Caenorhabditis elegans: one gene and its partner. The protein of the gene in region 1 purifies or fractionates together with the protein of each later gene. This does not show direct contact. Each region holds a gene or a part of one and is shown on either strand. Other genes may lie near its edges.

Region 1 (5,560 bases):
GGAATTTTTAAAATTACTAATGCTGTATTACGGGAACACAAAAATTCTGAGAATGCGTACTGCAAAACATATTTGACGCGCAAAATATCTCGTAGCAAAAACTACAGTAATTCTTTAAATGACTACTGTAGCGTTTGTGTCTATTTACGGACATAGTTTATTAATGGATAAAATATTGGAAGACAACTTAAAAGCTTCAAAATATCGTCGTCAGTATTCGAAAAGAAATTCATTTCAAAGATCGAGCCCGTAAAACGACACAAGCGCTACAGTAGTTATTTAAAGAATTACTGTAGTTTTTGCTACGAGATATTTTGCGCGTCAAATATGTTGTGCAATACGCATTCTCAGAATTTTGTGTTCCCGTAATATGACAATCGTGAATGATCAAATATCTGAAATTTCATCCAGTCACGAGTTGCAAGCTGATTTCGTGTTTCATCTGAAAACCAAAAAAAAAAGAAGCGGGCGGTCTCTTCGTTTGTGTTTTACAATGTTTTTGTTGTGCAACAATTTTTGTCGTCTTCTCGTCGTCTCCATTATTTTATTCTATCAATCCGTGACTCATCCACACCGCTTTTTCTTCTTTCTATCGTCACCCAACAGTTTCTTTTTCACCGCTCAAACACATACACACACCTCACCACCTCCTCATTATTCCAGCATCATTTTCAGTCTTATTTCGCTTCTATTCAATTATGGCTTCAAAATTGAAAAGTAGGATTTTTATAATTGTAAATTTTCTGCAAGTCCCATGTTCCAGACCACCACAGAGCTCAAATAGAGCAGAACCTTGTTGCAGAAAAGTCTTCAGAACCTGAACAATCATCTGATCCACGATCATCTTCGGGTAAAGAGGATGGCGATGATTTTCCAACAACGCCAAATGTTAGTTTTGTATGCCTAAATATTCTGGAATAGTTCAATTCAGATTGCCGCGAAAATTGCACAACGCCGTCTACCGCGTCGAACTCCGACTTCTCATGTGAAAGGGGTCACTGCAGAGCTGATGAGACGACGTTTGAGCAAGACAAGTGAGGAGGAGCCGGGAGGAAATAATAATGTAAGATCTAAAGTAGTTGCAATGAATTCAATTTTTAAATCAAGATAACGAGCCGGTTCACATTCAAAACCAGCATTGACGAGTCGAAAGAAGAACCAAGTGGAAACATTGCTGGAAGACTTCCACCAAAGACTCCATACAAAAGTTCTATCGCTGGAAAATCACCAATTAACACTTCTAAACCATTGTAAATATCATTTCGTTTCATTTTTCAATGCCCTGAAATTTTTCGTATCACACAAATATTTGTTCAATGAATAATTTCCGGTTTCCCATAGATCAATTAAAAGCAAATTCATTTGTCGGAAATGATATTTTTTATTTATTTTTTCAGATTGAAAACTTCACATTAAAAGTTTTAGAAACAAAGAAGCTGGATGGAAGAGATCTTAAGGGCTTTCTTAATTAAGTTATTTTAATGAAACTAATTAAAATTAGTTATTACTCCCTCGGGTAAAATTTAAACTGTAGGAATTTCAGCTCTTGCAGGGAATCTGGTCATACATCCGTCCCGGTAGGCATCGATGCTCGGACGAATTTCGATTCCTTTCCACGTTGAGATGGTTTGTGTCAGGTCGGCTGCAGTTCCATGGGTTCCAAGAATCGCACGATAACCGTCGTTTCCAGTGGCAAAGATTCTGACAAGAGTTTGAGCTCCCATGCAAACTGTATCCATTTGAGGAAGCGTCAAGTCGAATCCAATGCGATAGTTGGCTGATACTGGATCAATCAGACACGGTGATTTTGGAAGAAAGATACCAGCAGCAATGATTTCAAAGAATCGCCGGAAAGCAGTCCCCAAACAGGCTTTCTGGCGATTTGGTCCGTTTGCAAGGCAATAGAATGCAAGGTACTGGATTGTCCAAATAGAAAGAGGCTGGAAGTCGCTGTATCTTGAACGGGTATCCTTTAAAACTCGAACAAGTGCTTGCCATTCTTGAATGAAAGCTGGTGGCAACTCGCTGGAAATTTGGGAGAACCAGGTGATGTGGCGAGTGGAGAAGAAGTTGATCATCATTTGCTTGCTGTCCACTGAAAAATGTTGACTAAAATATTATTTATTCAATAAATTCTTACAATGTAACAGCGGTTCCAATTTCGTTGATTCTTCAGGAATAATCGTGATTAGAAGTCTGACCTGACAGTTATGAGAAGTGATTAAACATCCATATTCCATTTGTAATGGTTCTCCTGTTTCTTTTGGATCGGCAATTTTCATGTTTTCGACTACTTTTCTACCGAGCTCCGCTACTGTTTCATCTGAAAAATTGTTATTTTTCTGTAATATGTTAATTATTAACACTTACATGATGGTAATGTACTCAGCTGAACAACTACATCACTTTTGTCACTGGAATGAGTTGTCGTATCCGTGACAAACGATCCAACATGACTGATAGTCGCTATTCCAATATCAACGAGCGTCTTTTCTCTTTTTTCTTTTTCCAAAGCGACTATAACCTTTTTCGCGTACTCATTGATTCTTTTCCGAATTTCGACGGATGGAGTAAGATTTGCAGCGCGATCCAGTATTTCCTACAAATATAACATACAGCATTAAAAATTTTTTTATGGAATATCAGCTAACCTTCTCAAAAACCGCATCAGATGTATTCTTTGTGCCTTCTAAATTGCCTTTGTCAAGCGTATAGTCGTATATTGTTCGGAATTGTGGAATTGGAACTCCAAACTGTGGAAAATTGCCACCGGGAACCATATTTGGTGTCCTAAATCCACGAGACCCAGCGCTGCGTCGGAACGCGGAACGTTTATAATTCATTTGAAAGCTGAAACATTAAACTGATAATTTTAGAAATAAAAAGTGAAAAAAGTGTTTAAAATTGCAATATATTTTACTCGAAATGTACAAAATGTTGTTATTTGTCAAATTAAAAAATGCAAACAGCATGAAAATATTCTTGCAACTACGGTGTGCAATTGCGGACTTGACATTGCGGACTTTTGCTTACCGTGTTTTATCGAAAAAATGCATGCCAATTTTAATTTTCTAATTCTCGAATTTCAATCAATTCGTTCGTTTTAACTAAAATTATACTATTTTTTCGGGCAATTTTTTTTCAAAATTCACAATTCAATCAAGTACTCTCACAGATCTCAAAAATGTCCGATTGGATTTGGCCGCTGGAGGCGCTAAAGGCAAGGACACCAAATTCTGTTGTCGTTTTTTAAATTTTTCACTGTTTTTTAGACAACACCGTCCATCAGAGCTGGTTTAACTAAAGAACAAGAGCTTCTCTGGCGCCGTGAAGGTATCAAGCTGTTATCGGAAGTCGGAAATGCCCTCAACTGGTAAATATAATTTTCGAAAAAGTCGAAATTTCAAAATTCAATTTTGCAGTAAACCGCGCCCCACTATCGGTGTTGCAGCTGTATATTTTCATCGGTTTTATATGATTCACAGTTTCCAGTCATTCAGTCGAGAGGTTTTTATAAGTTTACCAGGCACAATTAAAATTACTTTTTTCAGGTAACTGCACTAAGCTGTTTGTTTTTGGCTGGAAAAGTCGAAGATTTCCCGAAAAAATGCAAAGATGTTTGTCAAGCGGCTGTGACTCATTATCCAGAAATTTATTCAAAGTACCAGAACCTTGTGGTCAGTAAAGTGATTCATAAACTTGATAAATTGAATATTTCAGGACGATGTAATGGGGCTGGAAAGAGTACTGTTGCACAGTCTTAAATTTGACTTGCATGTTGCTTTGCCGTACGATGCTTTGCTGGATTATAAGATGATGTTTCCAGATATGAATCGTGAGAAGGTTAGTAAAAAAAATTATTTTTCAACAATCATTACGTGTTCCGATTTTAGAAATTTTTTCGATTACAAAATTAAACACATTTTCAGATTACCGACGCCGTTCAAATAGCTTGGACATTCATCAACGACAGCATCTACACCACATTGTGCATTACCACGGAGCCACAAATGATTGCAATAGCACTTTTACATCTTGCGTTCACTGTAAAAGGATATCAGCCTGTTCAGAAGAATATGGATCCATGTTGGTGGTCAGCGGATGTTAGTAATTGGCCTCAAGAATCAGTTGACAAGGCATGTCATCTGGTGCTAGATTTCTACGCTGCTACTAAAGAAAAACCGGTTCTGGAGAAAAAGAAGCTCACAACTTTTTAGTTTTCAAAAATCTAATATTTCTATATTTTCTTGCTTCTTCTGTTCCAGATTATTTTTGTACAGAACACCTAATCTTGGATTGTGTTGATCTCTTTTACCAAATAAATCTGAACACTTATTTGGTATTTGTTTACAAATCCCCTGGGCACCAATTCACAATCAATTCGTTCCGTACAACGTCGTCGAAACCAATCCTTCTCGAATTTCGGTGCGCCGTGTTCCCACGCGAAGAGGGAAGAAGAGAGAGGTTCGGGGGATGGATTACTGACGACGTGATGACGGAGAGATGACTATAATAACACAAAAAAGAATCAGCAGTCTTTATGTCTTTTCTTTTTATTCTTCTTTTTGTTCCCCTTTACTTTTACTTCTTCTTCTTCTGTTTGCATTAACACGTCACCTGAATAATTGTGAAGAGAAGTTTCAGAAGCCGTTTAAGATAGAAGAAGACAACTCCGTGTCGGACGTACGCGCATCAGATAAATGTGCACCATTTTCGACGGCCAAAAAAGTGCATCTGAAGAGAGAAAAAGTGGGCGGGACGGCGGAAGAAGACGCTAATCGCGCACGAGTCACAGAATATGTATACATACATTTTCAGATTATATGATTTTTTTCTCCTTTTGTATAGTATATTTAACATATAACTAAAAAATGACAAAAAAAATCAGCAAAACTGTTAAGCGTCCTTTCTTTTCGCAACTCTGGCGCGAAGTTTTTGCAAGAGTGCCGCACGGTTGTTTAAACGGATTTCCTATTAAATTTCTGATAATTTAAATTTTAGAATTATAAAACACTGTTGATTTCAAATCGAAACACATTTTAAAAAATCTGTAGAAATTGAAGGAACTGACAAAATAATCTGAAAATTGTGAGGATAATCAGCGGCACACTTTTAACAAAATCAAGTACAAAAATCGTCTAGAATGAGCAAAGTTTTATTTTTGGACCGATTTTACGTATTTAGTGAAAGTAGTGATTGTCAGAAATTCGAAAACGCCACGCGATTTTTCAATTTACGTCCAAAACTGTGACCAATCAGCTCCTCTCTCCGCCCACTTTTGGACCAATCAGATTGAGTGGGCGGAGTTCAAAAGTGCTTATTGGCTTGAAAGTGGGTGTGGTTTCTAATTTTGGAGGAAGTTCAAACGGAATTTAGGCAAAATTGAAAAATTCGAGTTTTTAAGTTTTTAAAAAATTTTCAAAAGGAAATTTCATTTTCTTTTTCTTTTGTGGTATTTTGAATTTCAAATAATCTCGGCTACTTTAAATAATTTTTTTTCACTGCTGCCGAGTTCTAAAAAAGGATTTTCACAGGATTCCGACGATTTGTAGGCTATAAA
Region 2 (6,345 bases), on another chromosome or scaffold:
TAGTCAGATAAATTCAATTCAATTCTGGTTTTAAGGTCTCTGCCAAGGCTACAGCTGCTAACGCTTCCGGACGCATTGTCGCTGTCATCGGAGCCGTCGTCGACGTCCAGTTCGATGAGAACCTTCCACCAATCCTCAACGGTCTCGAGGTAGTCGGACGTTCCCCAAGACTCATTCTTGAGGTCTCTCAACATCTCGGAGACAATGTCGTCAGATGTATTGCTATGGACGGAACTGAAGGACTTGTCCGTGGACAGCCAGTTGCTGACACCGGAGATCCGATTAAGATCCCAGTCGGACCAGAAACTCTTGGCCGTATCATGAACGTCATTGGAGAGCCAATTGACGAGAGAGGTCCAATTGCATCCAAGAACTTCGCTGCTATCCACGCTGAAGCTCCAGAATTCGTCGAAATGTCCGTCGAGCAGGAGATTCTTGTTACCGGAATCAAGGTCGTCGATCTTCTTGCCCCATACGCCAAGGGAGGAAAGATTGGACTTTTCGGAGGAGCTGGAGTCGGAAAGACTGTGCTTATCATGGAGCTCATTAACAACGTCGCCAAGGCTCACGGAGGTTACTCTGTGTTCGCTGGAGTCGGAGAGCGTACCCGTGAAGGAAACGATCTCTACCACGAAATGATTGAAGGAGGAGTCATTGATCTCAAGGTTAGTAGGAAAAAATGGTTCATGGTATTTAAATAAACAATTTATAGGGAAAGAACTCCAAGGTATCTCTCGTATACGGACAAATGAACGAGCCACCAGGTGCCCGTGCTCGTGTGTGCCTCACCGGTCTCACTGTCGCCGAGTACTTCCGTGACCAGGAAGGACAAGATGTGCTTCTTTTCATTGACAACATTTTCCGTTTCACCCAGGCTGGATCTGAAGTGTCCGCTCTTCTCGGACGTATCCCATCCGCTGTCGGATACCAACCAACCCTTGCCACTGACATGGGAAGTATGCAAGAGAGAATTACCACCACCAAGAAGGGATCCATCACATCCGTCCAGGCTATTTACGTACCTGCTGACGATTTGACTGATCCAGCTCCAGCTACCACATTCGCTCACTTGGACGCCACCACTGTCTTGTCCCGTGGTATTGCCGAATTGGCTATCTACCCAGCTGTCGATCCACTTGACTCCACCTCCCGTATCATGGACCCCAACGTTGTCGGACAGAACCACTACGACATTGCTCGTGGAGTTCAAAAGATCCTCCAAGATTACAAGTCCCTCCAAGATATTATTGCTATTCTTGGTATGGATGAGTTGTCCGAGGAAGACAAGCTTACCGTTTCACGTGCCCGCAAGATCCAACGTTTCCTTTCCCAACCATTCCAAGTCGCTGAGGTGTTCACTGGACATCAAGGAAAGTTCGTATCACTCGAAGAGACAATCCGCGGTTTCACCATGATTCTCAAGGGTAAGAATATTTAAACGTTGAAAACATTAAAATTAAATCAATTTTCAGGAGAACTCGACCACCTTCCAGAAGTTGCTTTCTACATGCAAGGAGGAATCGATGATGTGTTCAAGAAGGCCGAAGAACTCGCCAAGCAACACGGAAATTAGTTTTATTTTTTTTGTTATAACGCCGACACTTCGTTTTTCTTTTTTTCAATGTTTTTTGGTAGAGATAAATTTAATGTATAGTTTATTGTATTGTTGCGGTAGTGCTGTTTCCGTCAGACCACTATTTGGTGACTCCCAATACGTTGTTTTCCATCTCTCACTCTCCCTTCTTCGAATTCAACTACCAACCCAAATGCCCTAAAAGGCAACAAAAATAAAGCAAAAACATTATTTTTTTCACACCCCAAGTTCATTTGACTTCTAGTATATTTTTATCAGAAATAAACAGAAAGCCGATGATAAAACTGCGAGTTTGTTGATCGTCAAATTTCAGGTTAAACGAATGAGTAACAGAACGTATGCCGATAATCTGTTTCCACAACAGGTCGCGGAGCAGCATGAGGAACAGATGTCTTCTGGTTCTTCGCCCAAAAGTAATTCTCCCAGCAGAAGTATAAGCTCTGTTGAGGCAGCGAACTCTAGAATACACATCGGATGGATGGCCACAACCTTGGACGTTGCCGAGAATCTAGACCGTCATGTTGCTACTTTCTGTACACGACTGGGAGAGTTCAAGTATAACTTTGTCGTCTACCCGATTGGAGGGGTCGTTCGCGCATTCTGGACGCCTAATGGAAGGTTCACATCGACTATCTTACCCAACTTCAACTAGACTACTAATTTTCAGCGCGGAGAATCATCCACCTGTTATTGATTTGCCCGATGTTCAGCTGAGAAATGATCTCTGGGAAAGCTATGTTGTAGGAAAAGTATGGGGGGTTTTTTTTTTAATTTTAATTACTTTTTCGAAGAACAAGCCCTTTATTCTTAAATTAAAACCTGAAATTGTCATTTTTTTCAAGATTTCTCCATGGATCGACTGTGACTCTTCTGATCCAGCCTTTGCCTCGCTTTCCGAGGAACATCTTCTGAAAGAGCTCAGCTACATTTGTTATTTGGGTCTTCAAACGATGGCAATCGAGCTCACACGCATCTCGTCGCCTCGTACTGCTGCCATTTTGAAAAAATGGATTTGGACTAGAAATTCGCGTTTTACGTAAGTAAAATGCAATATGAAATAGCTCCTTTTTTTCAGTAAAATATTTTTTAAAAAAGCAAAGTTTATATTTATTTTCAGTGTTTGGGTTCAACTTCCGTCTGCAATTGAAAAGTGCAAAGATTATGACGCTTTCACAATAGAACATGTTGATTTATGGACAATTTGGGCCGATTTCCGGAAGAATTGTGGTAATTTCAGTGGTGTTTATTTCCAAGTGGCTTTGACGATCTCTTCGGAACTTCCCGATGAGCTTACTGAGCTTAAACTTGTGGACCGTTGGAAGGCCGAGCCCCTAGCAGCTTTTGTTATCGAATCGGGTCTTTTTATTTCTGGAAGAAATGGAGAAGCATCAATTCCAAGGTAAATTTCAAGATTACATTTTCAAATAAATACTAATTTTTCAGTGCCCACATAAATTTATTAAAACATCTATGGACAACTGATGCACTTCGGATCGTTCTTCGTGCCACAACGGATACATTCAAGTACAATACTTCTATCAAATCCGAGTATTCTCAAGCTCTTCGTCATGCAGTTCGAAATGTTAATTACCGAAGTCGTCCTGATGTTGGAGAAGGATCGAATGACTCCACTCATTATCTTAATGTTATCGAATACAAAGATGTTTTGCAAGCACCTCTTCAACCATTGTCTGAAAATTTGGATTCAGGAGTTTATAATACATTCGAGCAGGATCAAATTAAATACGACGTGTATGGAGAAGCTGTAGTTGGAGCATTAAAAGATCTTGGAGCTGACGGAAGAAAAACTGTTGTCATTTACTTGTTGGGAGGAGGACGTGGTCCTATTGTGAGTTTTTGGCTATTAAGTAGAAAAAGTCCCTTTTAATTCGACATGAAAACATATTTTGTGGCCAATTGAAAACACTCCACCCCCTGACCATGGGTCTCGTTTGGAAGTTGGCGACAAGCCGGAAATTCAAACATTTTGCAGTTAATTTTGCCAATTGTCTGAAGCGAACTGCAACATTTTTCAATTTACAGTTTTTCGGTCTAAATGAATATCAAAACGGGCATTTTTATGCGTCTCCATAGTTTTAAATATTATAAATTTCAATTTTTTTCAGGGAACGAAAATTCTGAAATCTGAAAGAGAATACAACAACACATTCCGACAAGGCCAAGAAAGTCTCAAAGTGAAGCTTTATATTGTTGAAAAGAATCCAAATGCAATCGTCACTCTGAAATATATGAATGTGAGAACATGGAAACGACGAGTAACGATTATTGAAAGTGATATGCGAAGTCTGCCGGGAATTGCGAAAGATCGTGGATTCGAACAACCTGACATAATTGTTTCGGAACTTCTTGGAAGTTTTGGAGATAACGAGTTGAGTCCTGAATGTCTAGATGGTGTCACTGGATTTTTGAAGCCAACAACAATTTCAATTCCACAGAAGTACACTAGCTATGTGAAGCCAATAATGAGTACTCATATTCATCAAACAATTAAAGCTCAAAGTATTCCTTATTTGAGTCGTGCAATTCCATCGCATGGTAGAGGTGAACCGGAATTGGATGAAGACGAAATGTGGATTCAAAAATACCCGTTTGTTTTTCAATTTTTTTATAAAAATATAAACATTCTGCCTTATTACCCCGATGCCAAATTTTGCTAGTCCCGGTCTCGATTAGACAAAATTTTTAAAATTAAAAAAAAAATTCAAACAAAAATCTTTGTTATATGCGAAAACGTGTGCACCTTTAAACTATACTGTAATCTAAGACTTGTTGCTGCAGAGTTTTTATTAATTTTTTATAGTTTTTTTTGGTTGGCATTTTATTATTTTAGTTTAGTTTTGATAAATTGATATTGATTTTTATTTAAAAAACTATGAAAAATCATGGGATATTGAAATTACAGTACTCTTCAAAGGTACAAAAAGTTTCGTATTAACGAATATTTATCGTGTAGATACCGGGTACCGTAATATTAGAAAAAGTATCGCTAAAATTCATGTTGTGGTAATAAATATTTCTGAAGTTTTCTACTCTTGTGTACATAAAGGCCCTGGCCGAGTACACGGAGGTTTCTAGGCCATCTTTTCTTGACGGGAGTATCCGCTCCACAAGTTATGCTTCAATTTACTCTTATTTTAGAATAATTTTTAATTAAAAAAAAAGCATAAAAACTTTTTTTTTAAATTTTAATAAACATTTTCTTTCAGACAAGGACATGTTCGTAACAATATGGATCAAATCTACGTTGTATATCTTTCAAAATACATTCCACTTGCCGAAACCACCAAACCAGTATTCACATTTGAACATCCAAATTTCATGAATTCAAGCAATGAGAGAAGCGATTCTATTGAATTTGTTATGGATAGAAATGCAGATGTAAGTTTTTCAGCAAAAAAAAAAAAAAAAACTTAGAAATTCTTAAGAAAATTTAAAAATATTTTTTCGTTGATTATTTGAGGTAATTTGCTTATATTAAATGCAAAATTCGCACAAATGACAGTCCACCTTTGAAAATAAAACAATGAATTGAAAAATTTTATTGATAAAATATGTGTTTATTAAATTAAAAATCAAATAAGTTAGAACCTAATTTATTTCAGCTGATGGGATTCGCCGGCTACTTTGATCTTCAACTCTACAAAACCGTGATGCTTTCAATTGAACCATCAACTCATACACCTGGAATGGTCAGTTGGTTCCCAGCTGTTATTCCACTTAGAGATCAATTGAGAGTTGGAGAAGGTGACAGAATTTCTCTGAAAATCGATCGAAAAGTTGACAATACTGGTGTGTGGTACGAATGGCATGTTGAAAAAAAGGTAACAGTTTTTGATAACTTATTAAGATTATAGTTGAGTTTTTTCCAGAAAACCAATGGCGAATCTGTGAGCACCCCGATCCAGAATCCAAATGGAGAGAGCTATTACATGAGAATGTAGTGCCTAGTTTTTCGCTTTTATAATTATTATTTTCCTGTTTTAATCCTAATTGTTGATGTGTTATTCACTTTTGCGCCCCTATTGAATTTCCCAATCATTCCTAGAATTTTTTCCGTTGGTTTTCCCATTTCCTGTTGCCCATTTTCCGGTTCATTAATTTGAAGATTCTTTTTTGCTCCGGTATCTATCGCGATTCGATTGTTGCTCCTTTTAATTCGATATTAATTGTTTAAAAATTCAGTTTTTAAGTTTCCGTTAATTTTCCGAATTAAAGAGCTTGTTTTATTCTGTTGTTTTTTTGTAATTTTGAATTATAGTTATTAGTTTTCATACTAAAACATATTTTTATAGAGATTTTAAAGTTTTCCCAATTATTTTTCATTTAAAAATATTTTCAGAATGTTGATAAACAGTTCTCGTTTATCAATTTCTTCAACGGGACGATGTCTTTTGGCATCTGCCATGTCACAAATGGACGAAGTATTCGGAGTACAGAAGAGACAAATGGGACGACGGCAACCAAAGCAGGGAAAACCACCAATTTTGCCTCCATCGAAGAAAGTGAGTTCTATTGATTTTTTCACTAGAACAAAAATTGGAACATAAAAAAATCCAATTTTTGCCGAAAAAAATGCGCCAGCGGGGCTTTTTCCCAAAATGACAGAAAATGTCTCAATATACCGAATATAACTGTTAGAAAATTTACAGTATTTTTCTAACTCCTTAAAAATGGGTTTTTTCAGTCTTGCAACAAAAAAACGTGCAACTTTTTATTGAAAAATTTAGAAG

The links. Proteins that work in one complex are often made in the same cells at the same time.
Region 2: the proteins of R11H6.5 (region 1) and prmt-5 fractionate together in Caenorhabditis elegans (co-fractionation; one large-scale study listed by BioGRID). This does not show direct contact.

Annotation. Positions count from the first base shown.
Region 1 is NC_003283.11:14,609,373-14,614,932, forward strand, and holds R11H6.5 (DZF domain-containing protein), read right to left. Parts: upstream 2,851-5,560; 5' UTR 2,844-2,850; coding exon 2,652-2,843; intron 2,600-2,651; coding exon 2,371-2,599; intron 2,324-2,370; coding exon 2,141-2,323; intron 2,096-2,140; coding exon 1,524-2,095; 3' UTR 1,362-1,523; downstream 1-1,361. Other genes in the region: R11H6.4 (Shugoshin_C domain-containing protein), read left to right, coding at 699-717, 764-888, 932-1,063, 1,108-1,254; ccnk-1 (Cyclin-like domain-containing protein), read left to right, coding at 3,185-3,220, 3,273-3,373, 3,423-3,507, 3,552-3,677, 3,721-3,843, 3,930-4,217.
Region 2 is NC_003281.10:5,228,663-5,235,007, forward strand, and holds prmt-5 (Protein arginine N-methyltransferase 5), read left to right. Parts: upstream 1-1,892; 5' UTR 1,893-1,916; coding exon 1,917-2,212; intron 2,213-2,261; coding exon 2,262-2,343; intron 2,344-2,436; coding exon 2,437-2,630; intron 2,631-2,711; coding exon 2,712-2,993; intron 2,994-3,037; coding exon 3,038-3,443; intron 3,444-3,720; coding exon 3,721-4,202; intron 4,203-4,821; coding exon 4,822-4,993; intron 4,994-5,217; coding exon 5,218-5,436; intron 5,437-5,484; coding exon 5,485-5,556; 3' UTR 5,557-5,845; downstream 5,846-6,345. Other genes in the region: atp-2 (ATP synthase subunit beta, mitochondrial), read left to right, coding at 36-665, 713-1,424, 1,473-1,573; mrps-26 (Small ribosomal subunit protein mS26), read left to right, coding at 5,956-6,117. UniProt on the Caenorhabditis elegans protein: Catalyzes the symmetrical dimethylation of arginine residues in targets such as small nuclear ribonucleoproteins, histone H2A/H4 and cbp-1.